Linked DNA regions of Schizosaccharomyces pombe. The protein of the gene in region 2 interacts with the protein of the main gene of each other region in a biochemical or structural test. Each region holds a gene or a part of one and is shown on either strand. Other genes may lie near its edges.

Region 1 (3,847 bases), on a different chromosome or scaffold from region 2:
TCTTTAGGTGTGCTACTTTCTCGATTGCAATCGAAGAAACTGTTCATTTCCAATGAAATACAGAAGCAATGGCATAAAAAGGATGATTTTACAGAATACGAAGATATTGTACACGAACTTATAGAACTTCCTGTTGTTTGCGCGCAAAGCATAGATGGTGGGTGTGTTTACGAGGTTATTAATCTTGTTCAGTCTGTTTTAAGAAGAGTCACTAAGCTTTTTCAATTGAAAGAACCTTGGAAATTATCAGATGATTCTCAAGAAAAGATTGACACTTTAATGTTAGTAGCTCACAGCCTACGCATTAGCGGAATTCTCCTACAACCTATAATGCCAACCAAGTCGACTGAGTTATTAGACCAATTAGGAATTCCTAAAAACCAGCGCTCCCTACAGAATGCAACTAACGTTTTTGAACCTACGGAGTTCACGTTCCACAGTGGTAATAATTCTCATTTGTTTGACAAAAGAACTCAATGAGACGTGTAGATCAGATAATTATGATGACAACAGTAAGAAAAAACTTATTTATTTAATAAATACATGATTAAATATTCAAGATATTTTGCATTAAGAAGTAATTGGAGTCTCTGCTTTGACTGACATGGGGCGGAATTGAATAATTTCTACGTTGAGCGTATGCATATTTATGAGAACAAGTACACCAGTCTTACGAAATTCGGGAACGGAAACCAATTGTATTCTGTTTCCCTCATTAATGACTGTTTTGCAGCCAAATTTCGGTTGATTACCACAAAGATATAGATCAGGCATTTCCTCCATTACAAATGTATCTTTGTCGGTGAAAGGATAGCACCCTAAAATCATTAGCAAATATATCGTTTGAAAAATGTACAGATTACTTACATAAGGTATCAGGGCTGGTAGGTGTGATATGATTCCATAGTAAAGTGTTTTCCATGCATTGAAGTGAAGATTTTTTGGGATGATATTTTCGGAGATCATTAATGTTTTGGCCGCTAGTAGCCAACACAAAATGATTGCCAAGAGAAAGCCAAGTGGGATTCGTAACTGTTTGTAAAGAAGATCCCAACCAAACTTTTGATTTAGTAAGTAAAGCGGGATGCAAAGGCTGTTGAGGAAGGATAGTTGAACTGTAATCATAAGGACCAGGCATTAAAGTGACATCTATGCTGGAACACACTTGATCAAGAAAATTATCTAGTTGGAAGGTGGGATTTGGATTGTAAGCAGACGTGTCATAGCCATATCTTTTTACTTTTTTCTTGCCAATGGGCACGGACGCAGAAGCGGAGTCGGCAATTTCTATAGAAGGTGCTAAGCAATTTCCGAGAATAATTAGCCTTTTGATGGAGGAAGGGGAAAAGGAAGAGACATGTGGAAGTGTTCCTCTTAGGAAATCTACAAGCTGATGAACTTGAATGCCTTCTATGCCGTCATTTGAGAGACCTAAGCCACTGACTGCCGCAATGTACTCTGGTTGAGCTTGCGATTCATCTGTAGTCATTGGAATGGAATGAGAGAAGATGCCTGGAAAACAAACGTCAACGACAACGAAACGACCTTGTTCATCTTCATGGCCCAAAACTGCAAGAACAACTCCTGTAACAACGCCAGCGTCATACAAAAAGCTTCCGCTACAATCTATACGGCCATAGTCATCCTCAAGAGCATATTCTATATCACCTGAAGCAGCATCTTCTGGGCTAACATACGGAGATTCTTCAGTAGTGGTGACAATTGTATGAAGTTGTGTGACATCGTTCATAACGTTTGGCTTAAGAGCTGTAGTCATATAAGCGGTAGCGACAACCCAACAGTCTTCATCTGACTTAACATCTAAAACGCGTTCCAATCGCTGTTTATCCGGCCATTTTTTTGAAGCGGCTTCTGTGATTCTGGGTCGAAGAGCGGTAAGTCGGGCGAAATAGATGCTGGCGTACTGTTGACTATACGTTTGCTGACTTAAACTAAGCTCCAAGCGTTTAGTTTCTTCACAAGGAATTGAATGTCTGACTTCAACCATGATTATTTTGTAAATATATACAGTTAGGTAAGTTAAACACTTACCAAAGGAGTAGTCAGGATATTAAATCGAGATGCTCCACGAAAAATTTCACAACAATGGAGAGTGAAGAGTTGTCTACGATTCATGCAATTACTAAAACGAGCGAGTATTGCAAGTAAATGTGCGGAAAAAAATATATATATATATATATATATATTTATATGATTTCCCAAAAAACCTATGAACGGCCCCAAAACACCTGTTTAAAAAAAAGAGGAATAAATATAATAACGCTTTTGTTGTTTTTTCAATAAAATCAGTTCTTTAAATGTTATTGACTAATTTACACAAGCAGCATATGTAAAGAGTAAGGAACTTCAAAGGTGTGCTATGCAAGGTTAAGGGGAATCAATTTCATGGAATGGAACCAGGTTTAGAAGGTTCGAATAAGCAAAGGAGTTGGATGCAGCAGATCAACAAGTAAGAATACGTTGTATATGAGAAAGTCGTGGTTCCTAACATGACTAGCTGTTGTTACCTACAACAATAAAGTGTTTGAAGAACATCTTTTTTTAAATGTAAACAAAGAGGTAAACTTGACGAAAAGAGAAAGAAGCTCAATAAAGGTGAATGTTTACTAATTGAGGATGAACAAACATCATGTGGGTTTATTTCGTTTCATACAATTAACATTTTTCTCAACCTTGAACAATCATGATGAATCCATATATTTAGTCTATCGAGTTTTATCACACAAAAGTAAAAGAAGCAAATTCCCCAACGAAGTAAATGAACTACAAACCCTTTCCTATAGCATAAAAAGTGGGTTTTCGATTTATTTGATGATTGTAAATTAATAACATTATGTTAATTAATAGGAGGAAAGGTAGGCCAACATAGTGCCCTAGAAATGGTTAAGGTGATTTCTGTATCTTACTATATTACTTATTAAAGATGTATATCAAAACTACATTAATTTAAATTGAGGTTTTATTTTATTCCGTTGAAATCTGAATATTAAATAACGCAATGTTGATCGGTCACACTATTACCCCATATGGAAAAGTATTGTAGAAGGAAAAGCAAGAATAGCAAAACCAAATTCAAATGTTTAAAGTAAAATGAAAAACTTGCCGATTTTCTTCTTCTTCAAAGATATCAATACATCCTTTATAAAAAAGCCGCTTGTCACGAGAGGTCAATGAAGCGGTATTGCCTGTTGTCCGATATCAGAGAGCTAGCTATAAATAGACTGTGGACTGTTAACATTCAGTATCGGCTACAGCTGCGGGATATCGAACACAGGGATAATCGAGTATACTGAGATGAATCAATGTTGCACGATTTAAAAAGGTTTTAACGACTCATAAACTTGTGTACCAAAAAAAATAAGAATCTCTATGTTAGAGAATAATAATTACTTGCATAGCCAGCCAGTTGTGTTTTAGTTGTTAATATACTAAATAGAAATAACTTGGCAACTTGAATGAAATGGAAATAAAATCTTATTGTGTGTGATTAATGCAGTAAAACATAAAAAAAATGAGAAACTGTTTACGTATTAAAAGGTCATACGGTTTAAAAACGGTTGAAAGTTTGATAAATTGAAGATCGAAAATTACGATGAGATCTTTTGCTTAATGCACTTGTATAGTCAACATTTCACACAGTTACATTTTCACATTCGCCGGAATGTCGAATTGTTTAAAAAACTTTTACTTTATAGTGTCTTGCAAGAAGGACCTGCCTGCATACTGTAAAAATTTCACTTTCGCACTGCTAGAGTTTGGAACAAACGAGCCAATAACGGTTCTGCGGACAGTTGTCGGTTTCCGCTTCCCCTGAGGTTAAACTAAA
Region 2 (7,535 bases):
AGCTGTTGCTGGCTGTGGAGTTTTTTTCGGAAATGATGACCCAAGAAATATTTCAGTACCGTTGGCTGGGGAAGAGCAAACCAACAATCGTGCGGAATTGCAAGCCATAATCCTAGCCCTTGAAAATACATCTGGCGATTTGACCATCCGCTCTGACAGCAATTATTCCATTAAGTCACTAACCACATGGCTGCCTAAATGGAAGAAAAATGACTTTAAGACTAGCAATTCACAACCTGTAAAAAATTTGGATTTGATCAACCGCGCTTCAGATTTGATGAGTGACAGAAATGTTTCGCTAGAGTACGTGAAAGGACACAGTACCGATTACGGTAATCAACAAGCCGATATGCTTGCTCGGCGAGGAGCTTCTGAGTAAATGGTCATCTATGATGAGCGCTGTAAAAAATGGATATAGGTACATTCTTTTGAAATTTGCCGTATAATTTTCGTCTACTCTTCGCTGGTTGTATGTGCTTTTTTTGTTCTCGTTTTGCATAATGCTACATATTTTATTGTAATTAAATATCATGCTATTATAACAATTTTAAAGAGGAAATTGAAAAGTATAGATTCGGAGCTAAGATAATTTTATTATTTAACGTTGAAAATGACACTTCGCACTAGTCAACAATTCCCTTTTCAATTAAATTTGGTTCGGTGTCTTAACGGCAGTCATCGAAATCATATTGCAATGGACTTAGCAAAGAATTAATAACAATTCGCTTCGTAATGAATTTGAAAAGGCTTAAATAGTGGTTTTGAAACGAACATTCACAGTTAATAGGTAGTTATTTGACTAACGTGAAGAAAGTGTACCAAAAATACTTTGAGTTTAGACAATGGGTGTCTCTAGCTTTTACCCACCTTTGCATGTACAGCGTCGAAGGAAATTATTTAAAATACTTCAAGGAGGCTTCCCTGTGCGATCTTTGTTAGACATTGGATGTGGAGATGCTCGTTTTCTATCATATTTAGTACCTTGCAATGATCAAGTGCCTATAGAATTTCTGGCCGGTATTGATATTAACGAACAAAGTATTGAAAGAGCTACTGAGGCTTTACAGGTTAGAACCGAAGACTTTTTACAACTACGTTGGCGACCGCTACATATTGAATTATTGCTTGGTAATATTAAAGATTTTACTCATTATAAACATGTTGATGCGGTTGTAGCTTCAGAGTTTATTGAGCATTGTCAAGTTGCAGAGATTTTAGCCTTTGAAAAACTTGTTTTTGGAAACTTGAAGCCCAATGTTTGCGTAGTGTCAACTCCGAATTTTGAATTTAACACAATCTTTGAGAAACTATCAACCTTGACAAGTAGTATATCATCTCGTACTTCTACCAATTTTAGACATCCTGAACACGTTTTTGAATGGGATCGAAAAGAGTTTGCTAAATGGGCTTATAAAATTTGTAAAAGATACCCAGAGTATACTGTTGAATTTACGGGCTGTGGTTTGCTAAATGATCTAATAGATGGTGACGATTTGTTACATTTTCGCCCATCATCTACTTACGGTTTCTGCACCCAAATCGCAGTATTTCATCAATCTAAAAACAATGCTGCTTCTCATTGCTTCTTAAAAGACCAAAATTCAAGCATCCTTCTTTACAAAAAGATTACATACCCATTTATGGAGCAACTATTTCCTCCAACAGTGCAGCAATTTATGAATCTTCTGAAAAAAGCATTTTTTGATCATTTATTTGGACGTCACTGTTTACTTTTATTCCAGGTTATTGCTGGCAAGTGTGCTTTGTCAGTAAAATTACCTTTCTTGTTTATCTGGGAGTCTTCGCCTCTCATTCGACATGCCTTCCATTATGATGATTCAATTTACTTATCATATTGTCCTGAATTAAAAAAAAGCAAACATAAAGGTATAGCTTTGGCAAACTCGTTTAGTTTTCGCATTGCAAAAGTACTTAAGAAAAGTAGAATTTTTATTATAACTTTTCATCATTACGTTTGATATACACATTTAGTAATTAAAAACATCCATCTTTTTCACCAGGACATTTCATCAAATCTTTTCAGTAAGTCAACAGATTGCTGAAGTTTCTTGTGTTCTGCAATTCGCATATAAAATATGGGGCAGTCTCTACTGGTACAAATGACGTCTTGATGCATACTTCCTTGGCATCGCTGACATTGAGTCCATAAGCGAGCAAAACGAACTTCTAAATCATTCACTTGAGCAACCTGACGTTGATACAGTTCCGCCGATCTATTTAGACAATTCTCACATAAAGCAGTTTTACCTTTTTTTATGGGAGCTTTGCATCCAAGACAGGTCTCAACCTTTACTGCGAATTTCATTATTCCTCCAACACTGGGGGCTGCCATGGAAATCGTCCGAGTATGGTCACCATGAAGTAAAGAGCTAGCTTTTTCACCAAGAATAGGCTCAAAAATTCTAAGCAAAGGTTTGGAGAGTTGATTTTCCAAATAATATTTTGCATCAATAGGAATGTTATTTTCCAATACATATATAGGGTCCTCCGACCTCATATAAAATTGATCACCTTGTGCACCTTTAATAATAACGTATGCAACGCGATCTCCTATGGCTGGGGCGGAGCCAGCATCTCGTTTACGCATTCGCTCAGCCAATTCAACGTGTGCCATTTTGGCAGCATAATCAGTTTTTGATAATGCCTTTGTGATTACAAGTTGTGACATATCAATTTTGTTTTGTAACAAATCGGAAATAACTTTTTTTGTAAACAACTGTGCACCCTCTACATCCTGATCAATTAACATTTTTCTCAAAGCTGTGTCAATCACATAAGATACTAGAGGACAGTTATCTCTTCTGACAGTTTCTATTCCTTTAGAGTCCATTTTATCATAAGTATCTGTACGAGTCCAAAATAATCCTGCATAACGTTTTTTGGAAATTAAAAGATATGGAAAGTACACTTTCTCAAACTCCAGTTTAATAGGATTCGGAAACTGGTCTGAAACATAATTAGCTGCTTCCTCTCCTAATTTCATGGCTTCAGGTAACGTTTTAACGCCAAACTTAACCATAACAGAATCAGTGTCACCATAGATTACAACTGCATCGTGAGAGTATCCATTCTCAATTCTGTATCTCTTTTCTACAACATCCTTGGTTTTTTCAATCATTTGTCGACCATAAGAGGTAACAGAAGAAGAAATTGCTAAACACGGCAAACGTCCGTTGGTAGCACCAGTAAATCCATATACTGAATTAGCACTTACTTTTAAAGCTAGCTGTCTACCATCCAAAACAGCCTTTTTGAATGGGTCCGTTTCCTTTTTTAGATCTGCTTTTGCTTTCTTACGTGCATTAAGTAAATCAGCTAAGATAATAGGGAGTAGTCCTTTACGAACATGTGGTTTAACGAAATAATCTCCGTTCGGAGTCACTGAGTAGTCAACATCTTGCTTAAGTTTTAATAATTCTGCAGTATTTGAGTCAAGTAATGTCGTATAGCATAAATTATGGGCTTGCATAATCGAAGGATAAAGTGAACTAAAATCCAGTGTTGCAATAGGGGTATCATAGTATCCTTTAATCGGTTCAATGACTGTAGCACCTTCATATTGCTCATCTGTTCCATTTACACGTATATTTGGAACAACTAGGTCATGTTGAAGAGCTTTGCGAAACAATTGAGAAATAACTTTAATCTGTTGGCCTCTAGCAAGAAGAAAATTAAACGGTACACCTGTTACTCTTGCCATTTCAGTATAGTTAACAAAACACATTAATTTGTCCATTAAGCGTTGGGGTAAATATGCATCTTTCAGACAATAAATAGCTAAACGTCTTCTAGAATCGGCAGTGCCATTTTGCAAGTCAGTGATGATAGAATAGTGTACATCTTCTTTTTGCTCGCCTAGAAACTGAGAGCAGACTGCATTTAAAGAGTAAGATCGAAGCTTAAAATCACGCTGCATTACTTGTAACATATCAAGCTGCAAACGCCCAGGAATACTAGTGGTTTTGCTTTCACGAGTACCATATGCTTTACTTGAAAACGTGGTTTCCTTTGCGACAGAAAAAAAATTATGAATACGGCCAAGTAATGGGAAATTGTGAATGCGTAAGCTTTTTGCTCGATCCAAGAGGTAAGGGATATCAAAGTTGCAGATGTTGTACCCAATTAAAACATCTGGGTCAACATCACGAACAAATTTTGACCAACTTGAAAGCATTTCAGCCTGATTTTGAAATTCATATACTTGTGTTCCAACGATTTGTGAGCATGTATCAACACAAAAGACATTACGAACAAAAGGAGTGGAGTCTCCATACTGCGTTACTATACTTGCAATTTGAATTACAGGGTCAATAGAGGGATCAGGAAAAACGCCTTTGCGACCTGCGCATTCAATATCAAAGCTCATGATCCTCAGTGGGGCCATTTTAGACCACTGGCCTTCAGCTGGAAGACTGATCAAGTCTTTGTAATTAATCCAAGCTTCAATTTGACAATTAGAAACTCGATTCTGGTAACGAAATTGATATTTTGAAGCAGGAAGATGAATCCAATTCATACCAACAACATCACAGTCAATCATGAATCTAAGAAGATATTGCGTATTGCTCTCAAAAGTAGTGACACCGACACCAACAGGGAAAAGCTCTTCGAAGTTGAATTCTCCTCTTTCAAATACATTTCGTGCTCGAGATAATATACGAGGGTTAGTAGTAAAGATTTTAATGAATGGAGATTTTTCATTTCCCTGAAATCCATATAAATTTTCCTTCATCTCTATAATGCAATGATCGATCACACCCCCATTACAAGTAGCATCTAAATCTTGTGTGAAACGTTCTAGCATCTCAGGTCGAAATCCAACCGGGGCTTTAACATAAAAGTACGGAAGGAATCCCACAACATGAACAAGGATGCTGTTTCCATTGTCAGTAACACCAAACAAACGAATTGAAGGTACAGATCCTTCTGTGAACTCCTCACTATCGATTTGCTGAAAATAAATATCATCCTTCTCAGGATTTATTGCAGGTAAAGCTGGTCGTTGCCACTGCTGATCTTTTGAAGCTATCAAGGAGTCAGTATACTAATAAATGGTTAGCTATCCAAAAAACCTTACATTTTATTTCATCTTGGTCCAATTGTGAAGCGTATTCAGCCAGCTCATCCTCAAAAGATGAAGTTTTTTCTTTTGAGGATGAGCCCTTTTTATCACCATATCCATTTCTTTCGCTTAAACGTCGCCGTTTGACATCTGTAATTTCGCCATGAATTGAACCATTTCTTCGGGGAAATGGATAGTTTTCTTTATTTAACACGACGCCCTCATTTGAAGACCTATCTGTCATTCTAGTAATTAATTTTTTATTTATTATGAAAATTAGAACAGAAAATGGTAAATAAGGAAGACACCAAGCTTACATGCTCTTGGTTTTTGGTAGGAAGACGAGCAACTAAAAGGGTTTTGTAGGTAACAACAAATAGGTACTTAGGCGAATATCTTGTAGGTAAGTTCAAAGCGTACACCAATAAATTTTGGTATGAGTGTCAACTGCTGAAAAGGTAAAACCACATTAAATAGGTTAGCTGTCAAATTACGATGGAGAAAGAAATCAAATATACAAGTTTATACCAATCTCCATCAAGCTACATAAACCACTACTTAATGTATTCTTGGGCATAACAAAAGACTAATTTATTATTAATGGAAGATATTAGTAATAAAAAGGACGCAATTGTCCAAAAACAAAAAGAACTAGATTCCAAGCAATAGGAATTAAGAAAACTGAGCAGAGTCATCAGCCTACAAACCGACAATTCCGATAATTTATTCTGAGACTTTGTTTACCAACGCCTAATGAATAATACAACATCAAGGTCATGTCAGTTAAACCAATACGATAACATTAACAGTAAATACGTAAAGAGATAGATTAAAAGCTGTGTCTGAAAGACAACTAAAAGAGCGAACCCTATACGGGCTAAAACCAAAACGGGATTTTAAGAGAGGGGTAAAAAATAAGATTTAAGAAGAACGAGGTTCAAGTGAGAGTGATTTATCAAATAAATAGGACAGATCTTGGTTAACAAAGCGACACCGATGTAAAATATAGCTTTGAAGATCAGTATTAGATTGCATTTCGTAAGAGGAGGATTGGAATCGGCACACATCTGCGACGACATCGGCAAGTCGATGCCGCTTATTAAAACTTAACAGATGTGGAGATGAATCAAGAACATCGGGGTTACCTTCATCGATAAAAGTCAAGTCACTTAATATGACACCCAAAAACGGTACGCAAGGAAGTTCAGCCTTGCGAAGTAAAGCACGATAAGTACTGAAATTTTTCTTTGTTTCCACGATTTCACGTAAACCAGACAGACATATTATGTCTTCAGCTTTAACAAGTTTGTACGCTGCATGTAAACGATAAATAGGAGCAGAATTTAAGGCAGAAACAATAGACATTAGAGTGGAAAAGTTTTGGAGGGACAAGCACTTGTAGGCAGTTTGTATAAAAAAGGATATTACTGCTGTACGAGCTTTGGTATTCTTTTTCTCTAAAATACAATTGATTATCCAATAGGTGAAACAATTCGAAAAGTTTATATAATTTCGGACAGCGCTGCGAGAATCGCGACTAACCCAGCTTCTAAATATCCATTCCCTCGAAGGAATCTGCTTTAGATAATCAAACTCCAATAATGTCATCTGGGAAGCAAATTCTTCAGGAGTATAAGCATATACGTTTAAAGAAATAAAAGTAGCCATGGGAGAAGATAATAGGCGTTGGGTTAACGAATCTGGAGGCTCTTCAGTCCAGAGATTGTCAATTTCCGATAAAATTACACTGCCAATATGAAAAGATGGAACAACATGGTCACGTAAAAAGGTACGCATCTCCGAAATCAAATAAAGAGTGTTACGGGCTTTTAAATCTTCAAAAAAGTATTTTTGAACCCACAAATTCATAACGGTGCAGACGTTCTTCTTGGTAACAAAATTATCTCCCTTTTCCCAAGAACTATATGCTGTAGCATCTAATCCTGGTGGCGGTAACTCGTGAAACAGAATGACAAGAAGCGTAAACAATTCCTGGGGGGTAGTGAACGTTTTATAAGTCAAAAGAAACGAATGGCGAAAATCTTTGTTCAAGTGAACGTTCTGGACAAGGTAATGCACGAGGGCCGGTAAAGTTCCACCTTTAACATTGTTATCGCTTTGCACAACTTTATTGGTTAACAAATTATCCAGCATCAAAATTGATTGCAAAGAGTTTCTGCCAAGTGTTAAGGTATCCTTGCTCATCTCGCTAACAGCGGTAAAATCAGAACTTCTAGAAATTCTAGTAGTACCTTTGTTAGTTTGACGAGCCGGTTCGTCATCTTTTGCTGTGTTTGCATTTGAAAACTTGTTTTCAAACTCTTTTGTTGCTAATTCCTGCATCTCATCGACGAGAGCAGCACGTACTTTAAGAAAATCACAAACATTTTCAAATAAAGTTTGGAAAGCCACAGCAATGGAAGCAATCATTGTAGGCATTGTAGAAAAATCG

What was found. The genes of interacting proteins can lie anywhere in the genome.
Region 1: the proteins of cdc6 (region 2) and cdc1 form a complex in vitro, tested with the Schizosaccharomyces pombe proteins (3 studies listed by BioGRID).

What each region holds. Positions count from the first base shown.
Region 1 is NC_003424.3:4,013,211-4,017,057, reverse strand, and holds cdc1 (DNA polymerase delta small subunit Cdc1), read right to left. Parts: upstream 2,009-3,847; coding exon 868-2,008; exon of another isoform or gene 819-867; coding exon 571-818; 3' UTR 501-570; downstream 1-500. Other genes in the region: msm1 (methionine--tRNA (Met) ligase), read left to right, coding at 1-480.
Region 2 is NC_003423.3:2,741,635-2,749,169, reverse strand, and holds cdc6 (DNA polymerase delta catalytic subunit Cdc6), read right to left. Parts: upstream 5,409-7,535; 5' UTR 5,328-5,408; coding exon 5,099-5,327; intron 5,047-5,098; coding exon 2,015-5,046; 3' UTR 1,980-2,014; coding exon of another isoform or gene 843-1,979; 3' UTR 574-842; downstream 1-573. Other genes in the region: ribonuclease H Rnh1, read left to right, coding at 1-379; hen1 (S-adenosylmethionine-dependent methyltransferase), read left to right, coding at 843-1,979; Ras guanine nucleotide exchange factor efc25, read right to left, coding at 6,005-7,535. UniProt on the Schizosaccharomyces pombe protein: Catalytic component of DNA polymerase delta (DNA polymerase III) which participates in chromosomal DNA replication.